Drosophila melanogaster: one gene and its partner. The gene in region 2 interacts genetically with the main gene of each other region. Each region holds a gene or a part of one and is shown on either strand. Other genes may lie near its edges.

What was found.
Region 1: of PGRP-LC (region 2) and PGRP-LE, changing one enhances a phenotype caused by changing the other (phenotypic enhancement), as found in Drosophila melanogaster (one study listed by BioGRID).

Annotation. Positions count from the first base shown.
Region 1 is NC_004354.4:15,800,653-15,807,549, forward strand, and holds PGRP-LE (peptidoglycan recognition protein LE), read right to left. Parts: upstream 3,229-6,897; 5' UTR 2,675-3,228; intron 2,439-2,674; 5' UTR 2,056-2,438; coding exon 1,857-2,055; intron 1,788-1,856; coding exon 1,488-1,787; intron 1,425-1,487; coding exon 1,311-1,424; intron 1,096-1,310; coding exon 1,031-1,095; intron 959-1,030; coding exon 599-958; 3' UTR 501-598; downstream 1-500. Other genes in the region: CG15602 (uncharacterized protein), read left to right, coding at 1-244. UniProt on the Drosophila melanogaster protein: Peptidoglycan-recognition protein that plays a key role in innate immunity by binding to murein peptidoglycans (PGN) of Gram-negative bacteria and activating the imd/Relish pathway. Has no activity against on Gram-positive bacteria.
Region 2 is NT_037436.4:9,336,817-9,345,253, forward strand, and holds the start of PGRP-LC (peptidoglycan recognition protein LC), read left to right. Parts: upstream 1-3,621; 5' UTR 3,622-3,773; intron 3,774-5,348; 5' UTR 5,349-5,511; coding exon 5,512-6,313; intron 6,314-7,383; exon of another isoform or gene 7,384-7,507; coding exon of another isoform or gene 7,508-7,796; intron 7,797-8,083; coding exon 8,084-8,308; intron 8,309-8,437. Other genes in the region: PGRP-LA (peptidoglycan recognition protein LA), read left to right, coding at 1-117, 170-405, 638-844, 910-1,053. UniProt on the Drosophila melanogaster protein: Major activator of the imd/Relish pathway and is likely to encode a pattern recognition molecule for the humoral immune response. Required for Relish processing and nuclear translocation following proteolytic cleavage.

The sequences.
Region 1 (6,897 bases), on a different chromosome or scaffold from region 2:
GCGCTTACCAGAACCTTCCGAGAGTGAAATTAGTCCAATTAACACTGAGTCGCCCGGCAACACCGAAGAATTGCCCTGGTGCAATATTTGTAACGAAGACGCCGACTTCCGATGCCACGGATGTGGTGGGGAACTCTTTTGCACTCTATGCTATAAGGAGTGCCACGATGATGACGAGGAGTACCGTGCTCACGTTAAGGAAAAGTATTCGGCTCCGCCAAAGCTTAAAGAAAATCACTTCTAATTGTTAATTGTTTACTTGACTGTACGCAAATTTTTGTTTAATTATAGATTGTTTTCAGCAAATGCATTACTATTGTCTGTATTTATGTGGTGCTAGCTCGCTCATATTTGTGCAGTATAATTGTTGCTTCTCTTTCAGTTGTGAATTAAAACAGGTAGGCGATGTTGGTTCCGAAACATCTTGTGGTTTTTCCACCTTTCAGCGCTGCAAAAACTATACCAAAATATAAAGTAACTTAACGAAACTGCCAGTAGCTGGAAAATTTATAAACAGGTGATTTAATGTTCAACATTATAAACGTAACTCGGGTGCATTTAAGTCTAAGTATGTGAAATGGTGCTCTTCTTTTGTCCCTCATTGTTCCTCCTCCTCGATATTGTAAAAGTGGGGCCATGTCTGTATCTCCTCGTACAATCGCCGACCAGGACTCTCCGTCGAATTGCACTGGCAGTGACAAATTAATCTATAGTCGGTGGATATGTGACCATCCTCAACGCCGCGGGCCAACAGATTGCGGCACATATTCAAGGCGTCTGCCGTCGGGAGTTCTTTCATGAAGCATCCAATGAAACTGATCCCCAGCGAGATCCTGTTGTAACCCAGAGTGTGGGCGCCCACCGTTTTCCATCCGCGTCCCTCGTAGATGTTGCCATCGCAGCCGACCAGGAAGTTGTACGCAATGTCATTCCATCCCCGCGACTCAATGTGGAAGCACTGAAATATATATACATAATTATTATATAGTTCGGAGCATATATGATTTAATTTCGCTAACGAAATACTTACCTGCATGTCACGGATAAGTCTTACGTTGATCGCCCGCTTTTCTGAACTCTCTGTAGCTGTGTGTACTGCGTGGTAAAACAATATTTGTTAATCAAGGTTTTAAATATATTCGAAAAGAGTTATAATACGATATAATCTTAGGTTAGTGAGTGCTAAGCATGATGGTCAGATCAAATAGTATAAATTGTTTTAATTATTGCGTCATACTTTTACAGACAACTTGATTTATAATCAGTTGGCAAAAAAATGGTTAAAACGTGCAGCAAACTTGAATACTCACAGATAACCACATATTTAACAGGCAGTTGCAAGGGCAGTGGCTCGTCCATGGGCTTCTGTGCTAGCCACGAAGAGCGCGGAATGATGGCGGACAGCTCCTTGGGTATTTTGAATTCTGTAAGTGAAATCGGTATCCTATGGTTAACGTGTATGCATCCCCTGGTGAATGATAGCTTACTCTGGCGCCTGATGAACACATCCGAGCGCACCCTCTCCTCCGACTCGTCCTGATAGTCGTCTTCGAAATGTGTCGGAGTTTTGGGAGCGTTATCTCTCGGTGGTGAAACATGCCGCCGATCTCTTCGGTTTTGAGTAAGGCCATCGGCTATGATTTGTATATTTCCATTAATATTGGTAACATTGCCGATATGGACGTTCGTGGAGTTGCTTATATTAACGTTGCCCAAAGTCTGAATGCTGTTGATCGAGTTCATAAGGTCCCTTATGGTGTCGCTGATGATCGAATGCTTTTTGGTAGCTTTAAGGTGGGGATATATTGAAAGTGTTATAAATTGAATATAGAAACTTGATCTTGAGTACTACGCACCGATTTGAGTGCCTAGTGTCATAGTGCTGATTTCTTCACTGGTATTTTGGTCGGCATCCTCCTCTTCCTCGGTATAATCGTAGTCCAAGCTGTCCACAACCGAGGACTCTGCAATGGACTCCAGTTCCTCGTCCTCCTGACTAGCCAACCATTCGCGAGTCCGCTCCTGGCTCAACTTTTTGATTCCCGATTCGGACATGTCCGTAGTTTTGGCTTCTGTTTGCTGCCAATAAATGCGCGTGTATCTCTCGGCTGGCCCTTACTTTGTTTATCAATATTGTGAGTTAGAACTGCTCTATTCTCTGATTAGTGTTCGTGTCGTGTCCACCTTACACGATAAGATAAGGACGTTCCACAGGCTATCCACCATTATATGCGCAGGTGCCGTGGTGAAATGCTTTTTTGCATATCAGTCCACTTGGGGCTTTTTTTTTGCATATTTAGTCATGTGTATTAATTATTGTCATGGATATCGAGGATCAGTCTAGATATCGATAAGTATTATCGATGTTCGCATTTAGAACAATTCCACTGCCTTTGAAGGGAGCTTAGCGGTATCGTACATACAGTGGGCCGCATCCACTAGTTGAGTTTCAGATTTCGATAAGTATTTGATTAACCATATAAAGCTTACAAAAATTTAAATACGAACAAAAAAAAATAGTTTAAATTATCCCTCTTTAACCGTTTTGGACATATATTTCTGTATACATATATATATTGTTCTATGAAAATATATAAATATATATAAATAAATAAATAAGTAAATAAATATATATAAATAAATAAATATAATATATATAAATATATAAACATACAAATGCTTTGTCCAGATCCGAAAACCCCTTATCACTGGCTAAAATATAACCAGTTTGGTTCACCAATCAAATCGACTGGAGGTACAATGCACCCAGTGCTGGAAAAGATGAGCTTTCCAACACTCTTGCCTATATTGGGCTTTAATGCTAAGCAGTTAACTGCAACACTGCACCGTGTTTGATAATAAACCTGTAGAGGCAGGTGATTACACCCAAGTCAGCCCATCTTTAAGCATTAGTCATGGGGCTAGAGGTACTCAGATAAACCACCAAAACCTAATTCATGCGCTGTAAACATTCACTCGACCACTCTCGCGTATGCGCTGTTCTTCCCTCCAAGTCTCTCAATTACTTTCTTTATTTTTATATTTAGTTACTGCTGGCTATTCAAGCCAACCAAAGAGCTACCACAACACGGATTTAATAGTCACTTAGAGCCATTAAAAGAGAATAAACTAAAATGTAACCAACTTATAAACTAATTTTATACATTGCTTAAGCGATAGTTTGACGTATAAAACTGAGGAGCTTATATTTATTACTTTTGACTGCACAGTGGAATGCATTCAAAGGTCTGTTTATGTTTTTGTTCCGGTGTGACCGTATTCCGAACAGGAACACAGTCTAATTTAAAAGTTAAATTAAAAGCATATCAAAAAGTGAAATAAACTTTTTAAATATCTTCGCTAATTGGACAAACAGCTTAAATATATTGTAATCAACAGATAACCTAATCAAATATACCAAAATAGGCATTTTTTAGTGGAGTTCAAAAAAGGGCGGCAATCACCTTCAGCTGAATCAGCTGTCAAATAAAGTGAAGCTTTGGTATTAAAGCTTTTAACATAATTTAGGGGAAGAGAAAACATAAAAATGTATGAAAATGAAAGAGAAAAACGGATTCTCTTTATGTAAAATCTTAGAATTAACGCTCTCTTAGGTTCCACAATTGGTTCCGATTGGAACCGCGCACAAAGAGAGCGAGGAAGAGAGCGAGAGAGTTTCGAGTCGAATTGGAATGGCCAGAAAAATATATTTCTGCTTTCAGTTTCGAAAAATTTTTCGATGGAAGCAGCCGAGTGCGAATGCGAATGCTCAATGAGAAGAGCTTTTACTGTTTTACTTTTTGCCTGAAATACATTTTGAGATAATTTCTTATTGGTAGTTCTGTTTATGCCATCGCTTGCGTCTGTCTGTGTTATTTCGATTGCGAGAGCTAGTTAACATTAGTTAAAATTAAAACAAACGCCAGCCATAAGATATAATCGAATTGCGGTTTTTTCTTCTCGTACCGAATTTCCATCCACATCCGCATCCACCATCCGCCATCCGCCAAACCCATCCCGTTCCGTTTGTTCGTCGCTATCCGTCGGATATGTTGTTCTATCGGTGTACCGTACAAGTACAAGTTCGTACCCAGTCCAAAGCCAAACAGATTGCGCCGTGTGCCGGTAAAAATAAGCGCAAAGTTTGAGAAAAACCATCAACATCAGATGATGTGCCCTGGAGGAAAAAACGTCGCGGATTTAATGAAATCTTAAATAATGGGTTCGCTTTAGCACAATTCGACGTTGCATTCGGCCAGCGGTGTGTTGTGTAAACAAAGTTGTAGTTATAGTTTTAGTTTAATTAGCTTCGCATAAGCTGCAACCGGATCTGAAACAGACCGTGGAAACAAAAAAATAATAATAATAATAATAATAATAATAATTGCATTTCATGTATGCCAGTGTAAATTTGCGTTCGTGTGTGCTAAGTTTACATATAGAGAGCGTGGAGTGGATTGGGATTGGATAGTGTTGGATTGGATAGTATCCCTATCCGATTCGCGCCGTTATTGTTAATGCGCAGGTAATTCGGAGCGCTTTTCGGCCATTCTGCCCAATACCAATATTTTGTTCTACATCGTGTTTTTATTTTTATTTTTTTTCCAACATTTTTTTTGCTGTGCTGTGCAGTGCTGTATGCGTTTATTTGACAGCTTATGAATCACCCACAAAGATTTATTTGTGCTGATTGCAGCACAACTGTTGCACCCCATTCAAAAAAAAAACAAATAAATAAATTAATAATCACAAAAAACACCCGCACATCGTCTTCGGGAAAACTACTGAAGCGAGTTGGGCCAGCAAAAAAAAAAAAAATACGTATAAATACAAATAAACAAATAATACCCAAGCCATTGTTCCCCCTCCTTAACGATTATAATTACGTTGCTTTTTTTTTTGCAGTGCATTTATTAAGGAATCCGTCTGATATCAGAACAACCTTAACTAACGCCTTTAAATCAATGATATGGTGGCCAATTCCCATTCCGTCGAACAATCGAATCGAGCGACTAGATTCGGTAAACATCGACCAAGTGTAAACTCGACTCCCATTACCACTGTGTAAATACCAGAAAGTAAATCCAAAAAAAAGAACAATAATTCAACCTGCAGGGGAAACTAAAAACGCACGATACACTTATTTGGAAGTGGATTTAAGTTTCAGTAATGCCAGCCAATGAACGACCAATTGCGATACAATACAGAAACACAAACAGAAACCGAAACATAAGCGAAGAGTAAATAAATGCAAATTAAAACAAAAAAGCCGGGCTCATGACACAATTGGTCATGTAAATCGCGAAAGATAAACATAATCCGTATAATTCGTATAAATATCATCGTAGTCGCGACGGTGGAAAATGTGCAGTGCGGTTAAATCCTAAAAAATGGATCGGTTTTCACTGATAAGCATCCGCATTTGGGTTTATTTCTTCGATCCCTGCAAGGTCCGCGAAAAAAGTTCGCCGAAGAAGGTGCTGTGAATAGCCCAATCAATCCGCACAGCTCTCCATTTCGAGATAGAGATCTTCTCCAGCTTTCGGAATCCTCGCACATCTAGACCATATCCTAGCCAATCGGAGCAGCCGCGCAATAAGTAGCATCTAATCCTGGAGCTTTACACCAATGCGATATGGATTGTGATTACTCGAAGTTTCTGTACAAAAGTAAGTAAATGCTAAGATTAGATACGATGATAATATTTTAAAATTTACCGACGGCAACTTACCCCGTTCATTAGTGGTAACTCGATGATGAATTTTAATGAATTACAATTTATTGTGCATTTGTAATTTTAAAATACTCTTCAATTTTAATTGCACTGTCAGCGATTCTTGGGTTTTTCTTCTTAGAAGCAAATGATGAAAGTCTATTTAATGTCAAAGCCATAAAATTCGATTTTAGTTCTATAGTCTGGCGAAATATTCAACTATTTAGACAATTTATGAATGCTGACAAAAAATAATGTTCTATTAAGTGGAAAAAATGTTGACTAAAGAATTGAGGGATTAATGTTAGAGGAAACAAATCTGATAATTCAGCAATAAAATAAGAAGCAATAATCTTGAAGACTTCGGGCCTTGAAAAGGTCCCATTTATGTTCCTCTCCAAAAACTTAAAATAACAAGGTTTTTTTTTTTTTTTAAATTGGAACAGGATTGCGTCGGTGGTAAATCGGCTTTTTCCGCTGGAAAAACAACAAACAAAGTCTTAATTGAATCCTTATGGGATTTTGTAGGATTATATTTACATACATATTGTAGATTGCCTAATATGTAACGTAAAGTAGCAATACTTAATACTTTGATAGAACACTAATAAAATGAAAAAGTTTATCCTGTGAACTGATCAACTCGATCTGTCCGAATGTTTCGAACGTTTCCAAGAATCAAAAAATTCAATTCAAAAAATTCAAAAAAATAAAAATTGAGTCCCAAAAACTATAGTTTCTGATGGTTAATGCATTCATGTGATCGAATCAAATAACAATATTAGAGTAGAAATCTTACAACACATTGCTTTTCCGCGATAAAAAATCTCGTGCTAGCTTTTATCCAATGGGGATGACAATGATGTGGCAGTGAGATGGGGTTTTTTTTTTTTTTTTTTATCAATTTCGTAGGCACATTTTTCGCTAGAGGTATTTTCAGTTTCGAAACATTCCACGGGACACTGTGCGTTTTCTTGTTGCCATCTTCCATAGAAAGTTCGTGGATTTCGGTTTGGTTCGCATCGGCTTCCCTTGAAACCGACAAAAGCAGGCGACGGAAGAAGCGAAAAGCAAGCAGCACGGCAGCGTCGGCAACGTCAAAGCGACACACAAGCAGCAGCAAGTTGGAAAAAAAGGATTCTTCCCATCAGAAGTTGATTCCTCATGGTTTTGCACAAGATAAA
Region 2 (8,437 bases):
TCCTGTTGGTCCTGGCCACCGGATTGATTGTGCTCTACGTGGAACTCAATCGACCCAAGCCCGAGTTGCCCAGTAATAAAGCCATCTATTTTGGCAACAACTACGACCACCAAACGTGTAAGTGGATGGCACTTGTATAATCCATATAGCCAATTCACCAATTCTACAGTTCCGAATCTAGGAAACGGCCATCTCGTCGTCGACAGAGAGCAGTGGGGAGCGTCGAAGAACTCTCATGGTCTGACCATTCCCCTGAAGCGACCCATTCCCTACGTCCTAATCACCCACATTGGAGTGCAGTCTCTGCCCTGCGATAACATCTACAAGTGCTCCATCAAGATGCGCACCATTCAGGATTCAGCCATTGCTGAGAAGGGTCTGCCGGATATCCAATCCAATTTTTATGTAAGCCTGTTCTTGTTCTGCACTCTTTTACGCGCCTCAATGGGAAACATAGTTCCTAAAATAAGCCTTGTATAATACTTTTTAAGCCTTAAAAATCAAAATTTCTTCGAGTGTAGTAGGGAAAAGAAATCCCGGCGCGTGCATTTGTGTTCCCATCACGTTCACGTGCCATTTTGGGCATTTCGCTTTCCGCTTACGCAAATTGTCAAATTTCCGAATTTGTTTCGACCAGGTTTCGGAGGAGGGTAACATCTACGTTGGCCGCGGCTGGGACTGGGCCAACACGTATGCGAACCAGACATTGGCCATTACCTTTATGGGCGACTATGGCCGGTTTAAGCCCGGTCCCAAACAGCTGGAAGGTGTCCAATTTCTGCTGGCCCATGCAGTGGCCAATCGAAATATTGATGTGGACTACAAACTAGTGGCGCAAAATCAGGTATAATTACTTACTATATATCTGGCATATCTGGTGACATAATAATTTAATTGAATATTTTCCAGACTAAGGTGACCAGAAGCCCGGGTGCATATGTGTATCAAGAAATCCGGAACTGGCCGCATTTCTACGGCTGCGGAATGGACGAAGCACCGGCCTGCGGCATCGAATTGGGCATGAAAACGGAATCGTGGGACGCCAAGCAATAGCTACAGACTTTTCTACCACCTAAGTGTAACCAAGCACAAACTGTATTTTAATACATATACTAAGGCGAATGGAGCTTTCTTTTAATCGGTTATGCTGGCTTCGAAACCAAAGTAAACCGGTTGGGAGCAAGCGGTTTATTTATAGTAATATATATATATATAGTGTCTCTCTTCCTCTCTGGAGCTCTGTTTAGTTTTACTGTCGCTCAAAAAGCTGGAAATTCCCAAGCCGCAGTCAACCTCTATCAGTGCCAATACCAGTACCCCTTTTATTCCCTCATAGACTTTAACACTCATCGATCTTGTGTGTGTCTGTGTGTGTGTGTAAATATATGAGAGCCTTTGTGCGCCAGTACAACATCATTATCGGTAGCTTCACTTCACTTCACTTATATAGACGATGTTGTGATCGCTGTGGCTGCCTTTGTCATTTATCTGCCTTTCAACGTGAATATATGTACAATGATAATAATGATGTTTTATTTTTGTTATCATATGGAGTCATTACAATCCTATTTACAGGAAGACTGGTAATAGCAGAGAAATATATTAAAAATGAAATGGATATTTGCCAATAAGATCTGCTATCATCACCGACCTTCAGTTCAAAGCCCTCAACAGAGAAGTACGTTCGATGATTTATATTGGTAAAAAAAAAAAGAAACTCCTTCGAAATGTTTATGTTTTTAACTTGCGCATCAAATGATGAGCTGAAACTATGACGACATGGAAAGCTAATAAACTAGTGGGTGTGCCTTTTAACCCTCTTTTCATCAATGACCTAAAGTCCAACCTGCCCAAAAGAGTGACGTACATACATTCATTGACTAATTAATCTCACGGCGCCTTAAAAAAAAAATTATACCTACAACGCGGAACGAATTTTTGGCCAAAACAATGACGAGAGTACGGCACGTGTAAAAACCAAAAAGAAGAAGAAAAAAACACATATGCGAAGAGGGAACCAAAAAAGTAAAAATAATTAATAATAATTAAGGTAAGAAAATATGTGGAGGTAGGTATATTAAAATAGCTATGGTGATTGATTTCGCAACCGTTGTAAAGAAATTATTATCTGCTTCATTGGAAATGATTTACAATAATTACTGGCATTTTTCGCAATAAAATAATGGGTCAACAAAGAATAGATTGCCTGGCTACAAAAGGCATAAATCATTAGATGTTTCGGTGTAGAACTTTAACTGCAATAAAATAATACATTTTAAAGGCCACTCAACAAGCTTATCAGTAAGTCAGGAACACTGAGAGAAAAAATATTATAAATAGTCTACAACTATTTCGATTAAAGCTCGTTGCGCTTTCCACTTATAATTATATTTTTATTTTTCTTTTCTGTAAGCGTGTTCGGAATTCGTTTCGCCAATTTGTTGCTCTTTACGTTTTATCCATCAACAGTTTCCCGGCGCCCTTTTCAGACTATCAGAGATCGCCGAACCGCCGTTCGCCTATAATTACATTAAATATTTTTCAACACAAGTACAATGGGTCAAGCTGGAATTGGAAGAGAAAAAAAAGAGCTATGTACACATGTACATATGTATACATATATATATATATAACTGGCCTGTACCACAAAGTGAAATAGCCAAAAACCGATTGCGGGCCGCAAAACAAAACAATTCTCGGAAATGGTAGCGCAATTTAAAATGTTCACATTTTTGCCCACACTGCAATGTCTGTAAGTGTTTTGGTAGACGGGAGAGAGCCGGAGATTTGTGTTGTTTATTGGTTGAATAAATAAAAAATATATATATTTATATACATACATATGTACATATATAATACGTATACGCCGATTTGTCTGTGTCGATGTCGGTGCGGACGACTAAACAACTAAACAAAAACAAACAGTCATCGTCAGGTGGGAGAAGTTGGAGAGACCATTCTCGAGCCACGGGGCGTAGCTGGAGGTATCGTTATAAATTTGACTAATATCTGGAAGATTTATAAAAAAAAACCCGAAATCGAGAACAGGTTCCGCGACTTAATGACGCTCGGAAAAACCGAAATATGCAGCTCGCCAGATGCAGTTATCGGAATTCTTTCGGTTTCTTGGGATCACTCGCTTTTCGTTTAAACCAGTTTCGATTGAGAAAAAGTTGTACCGCTATCATAAGTTATTAAAATGTACAGTTTTTTTTAAGGAAAATTTAAATCATTGCATTTTATTGGTTAACGCTAGATTACAAAAAGGATAGAAAATACAACAGAACGCGTTCATATTATGTAATATGTAAACACTATATGTTAAAAAATTATATTTTCTAAAACGATTTAGAAGTTTTTTGGAACAAGGCTTTTGAGTTGCACTCTTAAGATCTTTTGAGAAATCACTTATTAAAATGCAAATCGGTAACAAGTTGGACTGCCTGAAAATCGGACTCAAATTAAACAACTTTGGTTAAATAAACGCAAAAACGCCGACCGCTCTCTCCCCATCATTCTCTTTGTTTTTTTTTTCTCAGCGATCTGCTCTCCCTCACACACGCTCCCCACACGCTGCCATATCAGACGCTCCAGCTTTTCAGGCCGCTGCGATTTGATCGCCGCTCAGTTGATCAGAGTCACTCGAACGCGCCGCTGCTCAACGATTCGAAATTGGCGCGAAACGGTATAAAAAGTTCGACTTACAAATTGGCTATATAGTATAGACGCTCAAATATCAAACGAGCTGCAACGGTTTTCGTCGGCAATTTAAAGTGCGTAACGATATGCAAAGTGTTAATATAGAATAGAATATAGAGTGATTATATAGAATATTACACACCGCAAAATAATCATAATCCTATTATATGACTAGTGACAAATAATTGAGCAATTATATCGATATTTAAGTGCAAACTAGTTTGTTTCTCCAATCGTTTTATGTTCCAGGAATGTTAATTAGCCTTTCGAAACACGAAAGGAAGTGAAAGAAATTCGTGGAAGTGAAAAAGAAAACATGCTATCGAAACATCGATCGAAAATCAATTAATTTGCACATAGGCCATATTTAATGATAATTTTGAAAACACGTAAAACATCAGAGTTGTTAATTATTATCGATTCTCCAAACAGAATACAACCAAAACAAAGAGCACCCATATTGTGATGATCTGTGCGTGTATTAGTGACAATGGCCGCCGCTCCCGTGCACGTGTATTGGTGCGCTCGGTAAACTCAAAATGCCATTCCGTTTCTCATTTGTAGCCGTTGTCGTTATTCGGTGTATTCCATTTGGTGTTATCTCAAAAGCGTGCTCTGTGCCAACTCTCTAGAACATCGATTCTAAAGTATAAAGTCGCTACCCTCCAAGGCACCCTTTCAATTCTATCGAGTTTATCACAATTCGCGGAATTCTTTAAAATAGAGTTACTGTTTTGAAATTGGCACACCTCTTCGGAAACCTTCGTATCTACGTATCATCAAGACGTCACGGCATATGCCCATAATGATCTTTCAGCCTTTTGAAGACGTCACTCGTGGCTTTCGAATATCCAAAATTAAGCATAACATGCATATGTATGGGTAACAACTACTACTTTTGTGTTTCTCGGAATCCACTTAAGTAAATAGACTACGTCAATGATTATAGCTAATTTGCATAAGCCTTGCATTCGTGCGAGCTTACTGACCAACTATTTGAATCGAATTTGACGAGTATACAATATAAGTCAACTGTATACATACACATATATTCCAGCACTATTCAATACCCTTATATCTTAATTATACAAACTTCACTGCCATACAACAGCAGCAACGTTTTTTATTCGCGTTTTAAAAACTCTGTTGGCAATCGAGCTTATCAACAATCGTGTATACATGAACTAAAAGCGTTGATTGTACTTATAAATCATATTGCAACTGAACGATCTAATGGATTGTGATAACAATAAAATCACTTTTATAAAGCATGTGTAATTGAAAAGTATTAAAGAACTGACGAAATATTTTTCTAAATTGTGTGTGTTATCCAAACCGTTTAATAATGCTCAAAGCTATCAAATAAATATCACTTAGCTTATCGCATAATATAATATCAGCAATACATTGTTAAAATATATACATATATTTATCAATGTTCTAAAAACACTTGCACACAAGGGAATTATGTGGTTTTATCAAAAATAAAAAAATCAGTGCACCATAAAGCCAAAGTGCCTCCCCAAAGTTAAGCCCACTTTAGCCCAATTCAAACAAAAAATTTCTTCGAAATTTGACAACGTTTGACTAGCTTATTATCATCAAGTTAACCGGGACCAACAAAAAAAAAAACGTATACTTATTTGCAGATGCTCATGATGTGATGTTTGCCGAGAGCTGTGCCTAGTCAGCCGTTTTGCCATACGAAAAATAATGTACCGCCCAATCTGCTAAATAGGAAGGCTAACACATAACGCTCAGAGATCCAGAGAAAATATCAATCTGGTTACGTGACTGTCACGATAGTTCGACATGCCTTTTAGCAATGAAACGGAAATGAGCCAATGTTCCAATGCGAAACGTAGAGTAAACGATCCGTTGACTGGACCAAAAAACTGCAGTACTTCGTCCACAGACTCGGGCGTTATACTAAACGATAATGTGGCGGCATTCCGGCCGGAGAAGGAGACCAAAGATCGGGGGACGGGCGAAGGGCAGTTCCAATCGAAATCGGAAGAGAAAACGGAATCCAAGCGTATCAGCGTTGAGCACACTGTCAATATAACAACGGAAAATGTTGGAAAGACATCTTCGCCGGCGGTTTCCATACGGAGTACCACAATTTCCGTTGTGTCCATCGATGATAATGCCATCGACTCGAGTAGTATTGATAGTGATTCGGAGGCCGAAGCGGAGGATTATACGGTCCAGAAGCTGGGTCACCAGGTCACCTACCCGCCCAACAGTTCACACCTGCGCGACCTTAACCAGGGTCTAACGGTGATCAGTCGCCATGTGGCGCCAGGTGAGGCGGCAGTACCACCACCCAATCCCCTGGAAGCTGGCATTGTGGCCAAGCAAATACTGAACGGTAATCTGGCCGTGGCCACGCCCACATCGCCGGCGGGCGGTGCCACGCAGGGTATTGGCAGCATCGCCCTGACCAACTCCACAGATGTGACGTTCGGTGATAAGCATTTCTACGAGGGACCCGTGACGATACAACAGTTTCTCATCGATAATCGGGACAAGTGGAAACCGGGCGAGGGACCAGCTGGTGGACAGGATAACCCCGCATTCAATGGTGGTCCCAGCACGAATGGAAGTGCGCCGGGTAAGACATTCTAAGCTAATTTAATAGATTGTATTTTAAAATCTAAATCTGATATCGTTTAGTTTTTGTACACTATACTAAGAATGGAATCTTAAAAGTTGTAACTTTCGATTGCTTTCGCATCTTTCTGCATAGTTATTCTTGAGGATCGTTAGTTCGATAATTTCAACTTTTTAGTTTTCTATTCTAAAATATATATTTTCTGGGATATATATCCTTAAAACATATATATATTATTTTGCTATTTCCTGCTGCCTTTGTTTGCGTTTCATTTCTGTCTTCACCTTGCCGCGGTTCTGTTTGCTTTAATGGGCCAAAACTGAGCGCGTGTGACTATTTGTTTACTCAACCCAATTGGCCAGGTCTAACGACCGTGCTGCGAATGGTAGATTAGCAGATGGCCCACAAAGCAGACAGATTCATTGTATGCGCCTAGAACAAATACTACATGTTACTATAAAAACATATTAAATGCATTTAATTGCGCAAGGCAACAAAACTCATTATGGAAAATTTTGTTAAAATGCCAAATAATTTTATTACGTATAGAAAATATTTTAGCTTGAAAATTAAAAAATATTTATGAAAATCACGAACCCAAAATTTGTCTCACATAAAATAAAATTCATGAGAGAAAAAGTTTTAACGCCAATAGTGTCGGGGGATTTTTTAATATTAATACATTTTTTATTACTTATAGAACTCGTTTTTTATCTCCCTGTTTTCCGATTACAATCTCAGCACAAAAAAAAAACAAGTAAAATTTCATTCACGAAAAGAAAATGTATCTCTGCCGATTCAAGGCCCCGCAGCTCGTAAATCAAATCGGTGAAAACTTGCGATAATTACGCACAAAAAAAAACCATAGCAACTGCAATTGTTTACTTGATTGATTTTCACAATTACCATAATTAAATCGCCGTTCTGGTTGGCGAAAGTCTCCAATTGGAATTGAACCAGGGGTTCGAGTGTAAATTTAGTCAGCTGTAGTTAAGTGTTGTTTTTATAAAGGCAGGTGCTTCCCCTGGATCACGCAATAAATACTCATATAAAGCGGGGGGGTTTTTTGCGTGCGGCTTAAATACTTGCTAAATGAAAAAGTGAAAAACAAGAACAGTTCCTGCATACTATGTGCGCGGATCGGGAAAAGTACCCAACGATCGGTTTCAGTTGTTCATATAAAGCGATCGGAGAATGTCGAGGAACACGCTTGAAATTTGCCTAAAGTGTCACGGGATAATCGTAGATAATGACAGGCGTATCGAGTGTGATAATGTTTATTGTGGTCGGTCCTGTCATCGCAAATGCACGGAATTGTCCGAGGATCAGTTGAAATTGCTGGAAATGGTGCCCAATTTAAGGTGGAAATGTGACAACTGTCTGAATGGGGTGCAAATTGGAGCACAAATGAGCAAGTGGTTGGAAAAGTCACTGCGGGAACATGAAAAACGATTGGAAATCCTAGAACAGGGGCTAGTGAAGCGTAAGAAGAAATACTGAATATATAGCAAGCTAATCTTTGATTTTATAGGCTAAATAGAAAACTGAATAATTTATATAATCCTTCGTAAATCAAAATTTCTTTCTTTAAATTAACGAATATATTAAACTTTAACAAAGGTGGTTCCACTGTTTCCAAATAAAATTAAGTCTTTTATCTTTCATAAACAATAGAATTTATTATTAAGCCGTTAGAAATCTTTGCCTTATTCATTATTTAAGTTTTCCTTAACATTTTTTAAACAGCTTTCACTTACCCACACTTTTCAGGCTCCAAACACGAAGATCCGGCGCAAACCCCACCAATTTGTCCTTTTCTGCCCAACACTGTCGGACGCAAGGCCGTCACAGTTACAGTGGTTTTTGTAACTTTAACCTTCCTGCTGGGTATCGTACTGGCCACCACCACAAATCTCTTCGGAAAGACGTTGAACCAAAGTAAGATCAGAGATGACGACGATTACAGACAAAATATTCCAATCAATTCAACAATAGGTACAGTTTTGTTTCCCGCTAAGTGTGCAAAAGTGCTTCCTTACTAAACGAAAACCGAATTGGCGATCATGCTCTAACATATATCATCTCACCATCCCAACCAGCATGTGTATAATCCATCTTAATCTC